Linked DNA regions of Canis lupus familiaris. The protein of the gene in region 1 purifies or fractionates together with the protein of each later gene. This does not show direct contact. Links are inferred from orthologs where the notes say so. Each region holds a gene or a part of one and is shown on either strand. Other genes may lie near its edges. The genes, in order: HAT1, NASP and ASF1B.

Region 1 (3,751 bases):
TCATTACATTTCTTCCTTACAACTAACCATAAAGTCACAGGACTAATCTTTCTCAGAGTTACTTATTTTCTTATAAGCATAATTGCTGGTCAGCTATTGGCTGACCTACAAATTAGGTGGTTTTGTAAAGAAACAAGTCTCACCATTTTGAAAGATTATTTATTTTGAAATATTTTATTTATTTATTAATGAGAGAGAGAGAGAGAGAGAGGCAGAGACACAGGCAGAGGGAGAAGCAGGCTCCATGCAGGGAGCCCGACGTGGGACTCGATCCCTGGGTCCCAGGATCACGCCCTGGGCTGACGGCGGCGCTAAACCACTGAGCCACCCGGGCTGCCCCCCACAGGTCCATTTTAGCTCTCTGCAATAGCACTGTAAAGCTTATTAACCAACATTCATTGAGACGGGGCATTTTAAGGGTCTAGACAACCTTGGGGAGTATTTATGGATATCTAAATATCTTCTGGGACAAACAAGTGTCAACAGTTAATGAGGTACTAATAAGCCCTAAGGCCCGAATCAGGAAGCATCCCGTGATGTGGTTCAGGCCACTGGGACTTGAGACAGACAGGTAGGGCAGAGCGGGCGGCTTGCGGTATTATTAGGTAACAATTTCCGCGCTCCAAATGGTTGCCTAGTAACCGTTAGTGTGATAGTAGGATCCCTGACTATTACACTGTGGGCTGCAAGGAAAACGCATGAGCAAAGAAGAACAATGTCAGACGGGAATCTATGGCAAAAATAGAAACAAAATAAACGTAAATGTCTCCCGCACCTGCAAGTCAAGCCCCACATTTTACCTACATGTATACCTAGGCCTCAGGTGTCTGTACAGGCCAAAGGGGTAAGTTTTACTACCAGTCTCCGAACCCTGGCTGGGGAAACAGACAACAGCATTACCGGGTCTGCAACCCCAGAGCTGTCCTCGCGGGAGCCCGCGCGCATCCTTCTAGAGACGGCCCCTCACGCGGCCTCCTCCGCGGGTTCAGGCCTGCAACGCGGCTGACGGCGCTCGCCGTGGCTAGGCAACGGTCGGAGCATTCCCCGCGGAGTCGGCCCCGCCTCCCGAGGCGCTTCCACCTCCCGGCGCCTCGAGTCCCCTCCTCTCATTGGCTAGCGGGCCTACCAGGGGTGGGCGGGGGGATGTGCGTCACGCAATGAGCTCACTTCCGGCCAGGGAGCGCGCGGGTTGATTCGTCCTTCCTCAGCCGCGGGTGCTCGCAGCTCGGAAATGGCGGGTAAGTTCCCGGGAAAAGTTTACCAAGGGGAGGGGGCGGGCAGGTTTGGGGAAGAACGCCGAGGCGGTGGTGACAGTGCCCGCCTGGAACTCTCGGGCGCCGGCCTGGGTTCCAGAAGGCTTGCGGCAGCCGGAGAGCACGGAACTCTCAGCCCAGCTCCCTGTCGGCCGAGGTTCGTGCCCCCGCCCCCAACTAGTCGGGGTGCTGCGCCGTCTGCGGAGAGCTCGGCCCCGGCCGAGGGCCGCGGCCGCCGGGGGAGAGCGTCGCGGGGTGGCTCGCAAGCTGCCCGATCCTCGCGGCCTGCTTATCCGCTCGTTCCCTTTCCCCCCTGCCGCCCGAGCCGCAGCGGGCTGCTTGTGTTCCCGCCCGCCGGGTTTCGGGTTGGGCTCGCCCTCCTGCTCCAGGTCTCCCTCCACCTCCCTTCGACGACAGTCCGCTTCTGAGCTAGCGCATCGCTGCCTTGCCCCGCACCGGGGGCTCCCCTTTGAGTCTTCGCAGTCGTCTTTTTTTTTTTTTTTTCTTAAATCTCTCGCGCTTTAATATTCCTGGGATCGATTCAGATTTCCTTTGAGAAAGATGGTCCTCGCATGCTTCCTTCATCTAAACTTCTCTTAGTATTTTATGCTATGATTTTCACGTTCAATTCTCTTTTTTTTATTTTTATTTTTTTAAAGTCTCTTTAGTTTACAGCGTTTAATACTAATCATTACTATTAAGACTGTTCTGGTGTGAGTGTATACTCCCCCCCCCCCCAGTTACATATCTTTTGCAGTGATGGACAGTTTGTACTTTTTTTTCCGCCCCCAGTGCCTTCCTAGTAGTCTTACTACAGTTCCACGGATGTGCTGGATAGACAGGCTATCACGTGAGCTCTATAGATATTTAAAGAAGGATTTTTTCTACCAGAGAGTGACTCTGGGATCTTGGGGGTGCACTGGCGCTGTAAAAGAGGGGGGCATATGTATTTTGTGCGGTGTGCACGTAGTAAGACTTACCCCTAAATTTGAACCTGTGCTTCACCACTTAAATAGTTGGGTGCACTTAAGCAAGTAAACCTCTCCCGAAGCCTGAGTGTTTTAATATGAAATGGGGCGGATATAGTATCTAATAGATCTGTGGGGATTTAAGCCAATGTATGATTTCAAACACGTCAAGTTTTGTGGTTTATATATAACTCCTTGAAGTGGGTTCTGTTATCCCAATTTAATAGATTAGGGTCAGAGGAGTCAAGCAATGTGCTCTAGTTCTAGTTCACACATCCCAGTAAGTTAAGTGACGAAGGCTGGATGCGATTCCAGGAATTCTGACAACAGACTTCATCTTAGACTGCCTCAAATGTTCCCTATTTTCTGTTTATGTGTGTTTTAACCACCTGCTGAAGTTCATGGCATGTTTATTTCTGCACATGATTTCCTTTTTCCTGAATTTCTACAAATTTTTTTTTTCATTTTGTCCGGAGGTTTATTGTCATCTTTGCTTGAAAGTTTATCTGAATAATGATTGCTTCCATTTTTAATTACTTGTTACATATATTGATGGGTAGCTACGATCTAGTAAAACCATTTGGTTTCCAGTAGCCTGTAGTTTATGACTTTGTACACCTATGGTTAAAAAAACATTTGTTTAATGCACTGAAAATTTTCTTTCCTAACCCTGTCCCCATTCCTTCTCTCTTATCCTAGAGATAACCATGGTTACCAGTTTCTTGTCTGTCCTTCCTGAGATTATCTATGCATTATCAATTGATGGTTTTTTAATAGTTGATCTAAAATACTCTGGGTAGAAGTTTTCAAGTATTAGAGATAAAATGCTATTGTAATTATCAAAGGATATTCTCATCTTAGGTCTTGGTTGAGCAGTGGTACTCTTTTTTATATTTTTAAAAAGCTGCTTAGGTATAGGTCCTAGCAGATAATATATGTTAGTATTAAATATAAAGAAATGTCAGTAGTCATGTTACTTTTTGGATTTACTAATTTATGTAAAGCAAGCCTCGTTCATACACCTCTGGCAAAAATGATGTTTTTCCTGTTGTATAACAAGGCAGTCCTACTCAATACATTTATTTAGGAATATATGGAGAATGACCTGTGCTTTTATGATCTATTAGCATTAAAATTTTTTCCTATTATTCCACTCCTAATAAGAACCCTCTCTGTGGGTTTGACTATTTAAACCATTTCAACAAGACCTTCTGAAAACTTTTCCTTAGGATTTGGTGCTATGGAGAAATTTTTGGTTGAGTACAAGAGTGCAGTGGAGAAGAAGCTGGCGGAGTACAAATGTAACACCAACACAGCAATTGAACTAAAATTAGGTATGTATGCTATTTCTAAGTGGTATTCTGTACTGTGTGTTCATATATAATCTTTTTTTTTAATTTGAGGTAGAATTTTATGTAAGAGCAGTTCATGTAAATGTGTAGTTTTCTGCATGTATTGAACACATTCAGATTTTATTCAGTCCATTATGTCATGGAGTGGGTAGATGTTTAAGAGGTGGCGGAGTTTACA
Region 2 (3,651 bases), on another chromosome or scaffold:
CGCCAAACTGCTGCGCCACCCAGGGATCCCCTAGAGCGAGAATTTTCAAAAGCACTCTCAGAACAGTCATCCTCAACAAGGACTGAATGAAGGACAATTTGGAAACACTACCGTATGAAAATGTTTAGTAAATAAAACAGGTAGTCTTAACTATTGGAAAGTTGTGTATTTTTCACTGGAGTTTATTAACCAAAATAAAATCTATTGAGGGTACACAAACTAGCAAATATTTTATGCCTCATTTAATCCAGTTCTGGTAAGTTTTTTAATTTTGTAGGTCATTTTGATGATTTGTCAGGAAAGTCTTGCCAGAATGTTTTTAAGCCAACTAGAGGAATACGGGGTAGATACAAGGTTTGAGAAATATGGCCCTATGGTAAAGTGAATATAAATTGATCTTTTTTAAAAAATATTTTATTTATTCATGAGAGACAGAGACGCAGAGAAACAGACAGAGGGAGAAGCAGGCTCCATGCAGGGAGCTGAATGCGGGACTCGATCCTGGGACTCCAGTCCAAAGGCAGGCGCTAAACCGCTGAGCCACCCAGGGATCCCTAAATTGATCTTTTTTTTTTTTTTTTTTAAATTGATCTTTTGATAAGAGTCATTGGTGCTTTTTAGGCAGGTGGATGAGGGGTGTGCTTTTTTTTTTTCTGAGTGCTTTTATGGCCTTAATTTATATTAGTTTTGCTCACTGCTTTTCTTCAATGAATACTTAAAAGTTTATATTCTCTGCACTTGATTGTTTTACTGTTGCTTTTATAATATAGCACTACAGTTTCTGTTGTAGAAAAACCGTTAGGTTCTAACTATCATACCTTTGGTGCTTTGTCCTTTTGTTCTAGAATGGAGAATGGTGTGTTGGGAAATGCCCTAGAAGGTGTGCATGTGGAAGAGGAGGAAGGAGAAAAAACAGAAGATGAATCTCTGGTAGAAAATAATGATAACATAGATGGTACGTGGAGTTGCGTGTGACGTTCAGGAGATGCGACGTTTATTTCTTGTGTACAAGTGATGGGAGTAGGTCTCTCCCTGTCCTGGATGGTTTCTCCTAAGTTGCATTGGGTCGTACCTGCATCTGGTGGAGACTACAGTGTGGAGATAGCCAATTACTGAAATTGACAGCAGGCTTTTGTAAAAGGAAAACTTAATTTCCCCAATAAATGTGGTCATTTAAATTGACATTTTAAATATATAGCAACTTTAAATGTTTTTCTAATGCAAATATTTAAAAGTCTGCGCAGCTCAGTTATTTTATTTTAATTTTTTAAAAGATTTTATTTATTTATTCATGATAGACATAGAGAGAGAGATAGAGAGGCAGAGACACAGGCAGAGGGAGAAGCAGGCTCCATGCAGGGAGCCCAACGCGGGACTCGATCCCGGGTCCTCAGGATCGCGCCCTGGGCCAAAGGCAGGCGCCAAACTGCTGAGCCTCCCAGGGATCCCCAGCTCAGTTATTTTAATAGCAGTACTTCTGGAGTATTTTTACATTTTTGTCTAAGAAAAGTAACTTCTTAGTGGAGTATGGCTACTAGAGTTTTACATATTAGTTGGAGGTTTATAATGTTTAGAGGAGAGCATAAAGCTTGGCATCTCTTAACCTAACTGATAATCAAAATGCTCAAGTAAAAATAATATTTAAGGAGCTTGGGTTTCTTTTGCAATAAGTTGCTCTGCTATCTGGGACTATTCCCTTTGCTTTTCTCAAGGGGGCAGATAATTTTTTAGGCCATCTGCTAAAATTTAAGCCAGGCTGTTTGAGGGTTTAAAGGGAATGTATTTTTAGTTTCCATTTATGCCTTTATCACTAAATTCGAAGACATGTTTATGCTTCATGTTCTTTAACCATGTAGAGGAAGCAAGGGAAGAGTTGAGAGAACAGGTTTATGACGCCATGGGAGAAAAAGAAGAAGCAAAAAAACCAGAAGACCAGTCTCTGGTAAAGCCTGAAATTGATAAAGAGCAGGAAAATGAAATGGAGAAGGGTGGAAGAGAAGACATGGATATAAGTGAGCCTACAGAGGAACTACAGGAAAAAGTTGAGTCCACTCCAGATCAGTTAACTGAAACCACTGAGGCAAAAGAAATAGCAGCACCAGAAGGACTGAATGAAGCCAAGGTCGCTTCTGGGAAGCCAGAACAGGAAGCCCCAGATGCTGAGGAAGGAAAATCAGTTTGTGGAACTGACGTGCAAGATGAATGCAGAGAAAAAGGTCAGGAGAAGCAGGGAGAAGTAATTGTGAGCATAGAGGAGAAGCCAAAAGAAGCTTCAGGAGAGCAACCTGTTACAACTCTTGAAAAGCAGGATACTGCAGTGGAGGCAGAAGCAGAGCCTATAGATTCAGCAGTCAAGCCAGTGGCTGGGGGTGGGAATGAGCCAAAGGAACAGGTAGCAGCTGCCTCTGAAAATGAGCCAGGAAGGGCTGTTCTTGAGCAGCTGGTAGGGCAAGAAATGCCTCCTGCTGAAGAGTCACCAAAGGTGACAATAGAGCTTGCAGAGGCCTCAGCTGCAGAAGCTGGGTCAGAAGTCTCTGAGAAGCCTGGACAGGAGGCCACAGTTCTCCCTAAGGATGGTATAGTCAATGGATTGTCAGCTGCAGGAGATCAGACTCCTGTTGAACAACAGACTAATGTAGAAGAACTGACAGAAACAAAAGATGGCTCAGGACTAGAGGAGGAGGTCAGGGCAGAGTTGGTTCCTAGCCAGGAGGAGGAAACTAAGCTGTCCATAGAAGAGTCTGAGGCAGCTGGAGATGGGGTTGAGACCAAGGTAGCCCGGGGGGCTCCTGAGAAATCGCCTGAAGACAAAGTTAAGATAGCTGCTAATGAAGAAACACGAGAAAGAGAAGAACAGATGAAAGAGGGTGAAGGTAACCGGGATATGCAAGAGCTGCAGTGGGTGGAGTACATTCTGGATTTGACTCACTAATCATGGGTAAAAGTCAGCCTTCCATTCAGGATTTTCCGTCTGCCTTTGGATTAGAAAAGGGCTAAATGAAAATGGGGATAGCTTAAGAAGATTGTGATAAGTTGAGCAAGTCAAAATGCAAGTCTTCAGCAGGCTTATAAACTAACACTTTTACTAACTGCAAAATAGGCCTTCTCTGTGATTTCTGAGACTTGGCTAGCTATCAGTAACTTGTACATACTAGCCAATAAAGGTGGATGGGGGCTGGTGGAGTAGGTAGGGAAATAGTGGGCTAGGCTGGCAGAGAATGCTGAATGGATGTTCACTTGCATGCCTCTGGATTATTTAATTTACTGTTCACATGGTTCCTATTCTCCACTTTAGGAAGCAGGATTAGAGCAGTAGAATCCAGTGAATTGGTACACTTAAGCAGGCATGCCATTTAAATGAAGGCAGTTAACCACAGTGAAAGAATTCTGGTGACTCTCTTTTACTTTTAGTCTTCAGGAAGTGTTCAGAGGCTTATTTGCATTAGTTTTAAATTAGCCTCCTCCAAAAGATAACAAAAAAATTAACATTTAGCCCTCTTGCTGCTTTCCCCCTCATTTCATGCTTGCTTTGGCTGCTAAACTGAAGTTTTTATTACTTAGAACATAAACTGTGGGATGCTTTGTGTAGTATTACTGGTTTAATTTTGATTCAATTCCATCAAGATGTATAAGTCTCTAGCATTTACATAA
Region 3 (3,202 bases), on another chromosome or scaffold:
CCCACCCCACCAATTCTTAGTTGCTCTTGCATGTGCTCTCTCTTGCTCTCTCTCAAGTAAATAAAATTTAAGAATAAATAAATATTTATTTATTTTTAAATATATAAAAATCAAATCCTTGCCTACCTCCCAGTCTACCGCTCCCACCCCAGTCCAGGCAACCTCATCCCATCCCCAAACGCCTCACCCACCTGTAGCCAGGCCACCAGCAAGCCCACCTGCTCCACTCCACGAGCAAGGCTGGCTTCCTGAGCATTCAGCTCATGCAGCCACACAGGGCCCGGCACCTGGTATAACGTTCTGCTGTCGCTGGCTAAAACTTGCTAATTTGTGAATAAGGGACCCCATGTCTCGTTTTGGTTTTATTTTGTACCAGTTATATAGCGGGTCCTATCCATAACAACACACCCCAAATGTGTCTGCCTCTGTCCTCTCCTTCCTGGTGTAAATCGCTGTCTGCACTCTGGGTTGACTGTAACCTGCCCAGTCTCTGCTCCCACAACTGCCCTCCTCCCATCACAGCATGCCATTCTTTACAGACCACAGGAGTGATGCAGCACTTACCTCCTGTTAGACATTCTTGCTCCTTCCCAAGCCCTTAACTGGCCCAAAAGACCCTGGGCGCCCTGGTCCCTACCTGCCCACTTGTACAGCCTTATCTTATGCCACCCCTCCACCCCCCCTCACTACACTTCTCAGCACTACATTTACTTCTTTGTGGCACTTGTCACACTGAGCATTTTACAGGCATTTGCAAGATTGATTGTGTCTTCCCCACTCGATTAGAAACTCCTGTTGTCAGAGACCATACCTTTTGGCTCAGTAAATATGTGTTGCTTGAAAATCATTGTGTTAAGTGGTAGAGGTGTGGCTGTACGATCAATGCTAAGGCACGGGGTGTGTTTCCTCTAGGCTGATGCCCCCAACCCATCCCTCATCCCAGAGACTGATGCTGTGGGTGTGACCGTGGTCCTCATCACCTGCACCTACCATGGACAGGAGTTCATCCGTGTGGGCTACTACGTCAACAATGAATACCCCAATCCTGAGCTGCGGGAGAACCCACCCCTGAAGCCAGACTTCTCTCAGGTGGGGCCTGTCTCTGCACTTCCTGCCTCGGACAGGCTGGCTCTTTGGCACCTGGGGGAGTTGAGTCATTGGAATTGGGAGCCAAGGTCACTTCTTAAGGTTTTCAAGCCCTGCTCAGATCTTGGAGCTCCAGACCAGAACCAGAGAGAGAAAGGTCTTTGTTTCTCAGAAGCACGCCTGGCAGAATTGAGATTAGATAGGTCTCAGCCCTAAATCACAGTACATAGGCACTCCCGGGAGTTCTACACATAGTTGTTGATGGTGATGGAATAAGTAAGCTCTGTTCTTCCTGGCCTTGGGGCAGGGTCTTGGGGTGCCCTGGCTCTGTGGGAGTAATGACGGGGCATGCTGACAAGGGTTGACATTCCTCTTTCTGCCCCAGCTCCAGAGGAACATCTTGGCCTCAAACCCCCGAGTGACCCGCTTCCACATCAACTGGGACAACATGGACAGACTAGAGGCCATAGAGAACCAGGACCCCACCCTGGGCTGTGGCCTCCCCTTCAGCTGTGCTCCCATCAAAGGCTTGGGTCTCCCAGGTTGCATTCCTGGGCTCCTACCCGAGAATTCCATGGACTGCATCTAACTCGAGGAATCCAGGCCCTACCTGGGCCCAGCCGGGACTGTGGCCAGTCTCCTAGCACATCTGGAGAGGGCAGCTGGGCCTCCTGGACAATCCCACGGAGGCCATCTAGAGGACTTTGGGGCCATCAGCTATACCCAAGCCAGACGTGGTTCTGAGGAAGGAGCAGGCCTCAGGTCTCTCCCAACACTGACCCAGAAGGATCAGCTTTTACCTCTACTGCCCAGGCCTGTAAGAAGCAGGTACTTCACTTTTTAATTCTTTGTGACATGTGTCTTTTCTGTCTTACACACACACTATAAATTCCACCTGCAGGCCTTTCTGCCACCATGCTCCTGTGAGTACCATTGACCCAGAGCTCTTCCCACAGACCTCCCTGGCTTGCCTTGAGGATTTCTTGGTCAACGCCTGGCAAGGCTCCAGGCCTGTTGAGCCGAAGGCTCTGTCATTCCTGTCCCTCCCCAAACATCTGAGCAAATCCACCCAGCTTTTTGGAGTCACAGGCAAGGAACCAAGCTTGGTTAGAAGGTGGACTTGGACACAATTTCTGTCCTCCTAGGATAGTTTTTAGGTCTTTTAATCCAACAGCCTCTGGAAAAGTCTGTTCCCAAAGGTATGCTCAGCAGGATGCTAAGGAATGATGGTTGACTCCGTACAACCACCTTCCTGTCCTCTCTTAATTGGATCTGGCTTTCCCTGGAGGCTGCCATGGTGGGAAGGTGGCAGGTTGGTGGAGTCTGTCTCAATGCTGGCATCAGGGCCCCTCTGCCTGCCTTAATCTGCCCTCTGCGAAGACCTCATGCTCTTGCAGGCACAGGAAACCATAGGGACCCTGAAAACCTCTCCCCTTGCCATGCTCCCTGCAACACCCCATTCCCTCGCTGCTACGTGGATGCAATTGTGATTACAGTTTGTATATTAAAAGGTTTTTATATTAAATATGTTTGGTTGATCTAAAAATAAAAAGCACTTCCTCTAGACTGATTCTGCTTTTATCTTAGGTGGGCTGAAGCAGATTTGTCCATCTCTCTTCATGATGTCGTGAAGGGGCTCTGGCCCCAGCCAGTGGGCTGACCGTCCTTTGTTCCCTTGCTCAGCTTCTTACCCTAGTCTTAATTGGTTACATAATTGTACTCCAGCCTGAGGTTCAGGGAGGGGTTTTTCTTTGTCAAAAGTTAAGCAACCCAGCTGTTCTGGATTGAGCATAACCAGTGATTTTTTAGACTTTGACCTTGACCCACAGGAAGAAATTAACATCATGCTCCAAGGACACACGCAGCAACACTTTTATTAAATTTTACTTAACCTTACTTTGTAACCATACAGCCCAGTAGACTGGTTTGGCTGGTGAGCCATTTCCCTGTAATTCACAGAAGTGCCCTGACTCTTCCTTCCTGGAAACTGGTGGACCTAGGAACATGGGTGCAGATAGCTGCCTGATAGGGTGCACATTGTGTAAGTTTAGGCAGAGCAGCAAACTGGCTTATAGACCTGAGACCAGCCTAGCCCCCTCTAAGTCAAGACAGCTGG

Evidence for each region.
Region 2: the proteins of HAT1 (region 1) and NASP purify together in Homo sapiens (affinity purification with mass spectrometry; 3 studies listed by BioGRID and IntAct, with this or other methods). This does not show direct contact. The link is inferred for Canis lupus familiaris from reciprocal best matches to the Homo sapiens genes HAT1 and NASP.
Region 3: the proteins of HAT1 (region 1) and ASF1B purify together in Homo sapiens (affinity purification with mass spectrometry; 6 studies listed by BioGRID and IntAct, counting the BioPlex papers as one, with this or other methods). This does not show direct contact. The link is inferred for Canis lupus familiaris from reciprocal best matches to the Homo sapiens genes HAT1 and ASF1B.

What each region holds. Positions count from the first base shown.
Region 1 is NC_049257.1:16,620,690-16,624,440, forward strand, and holds the start of HAT1 (histone acetyltransferase type B catalytic subunit), read left to right. Parts: upstream 1-1,088; 5' UTR 1,089-1,231; coding exon 1,232-1,238; intron 1,239-3,450; coding exon 3,451-3,555; intron 3,556-3,751. Other genes in the region: SLC25A12 (calcium-binding mitochondrial carrier protein Aralar1), read right to left, coding at 901-945. UniProt on the Homo sapiens protein: Histone acetyltransferase that plays a role in different biological processes including cell cycle progression, glucose metabolism, histone production or DNA damage repair. Coordinates histone production and acetylation via H4 promoter binding.
Region 2 is NC_049236.1:14,842,716-14,846,366, reverse strand, and holds part of NASP (nuclear autoantigenic sperm protein), read left to right. Parts: intron 1-845; coding exon 846-955; intron 956-1,856; coding exon 1,857-2,873; intron 2,874-3,651. UniProt on the Homo sapiens protein: Component of the histone chaperone network. Binds and stabilizes histone H3-H4 not bound to chromatin to maintain a soluble reservoir and modulate degradation by chaperone-mediated autophagy.
Region 3 is NC_049241.1:48,802,588-48,805,789, forward strand, and holds the end of ASF1B (histone chaperone ASF1B), read left to right. Parts: intron 1-912; coding exon 913-1,089; intron 1,090-1,471; coding exon 1,472-1,675; 3' UTR 1,676-2,652; downstream 2,653-3,202. UniProt on the Homo sapiens protein: Histone chaperone that facilitates histone deposition and histone exchange and removal during nucleosome assembly and disassembly. Cooperates with chromatin assembly factor 1 (CAF-1) to promote replication-dependent chromatin assembly.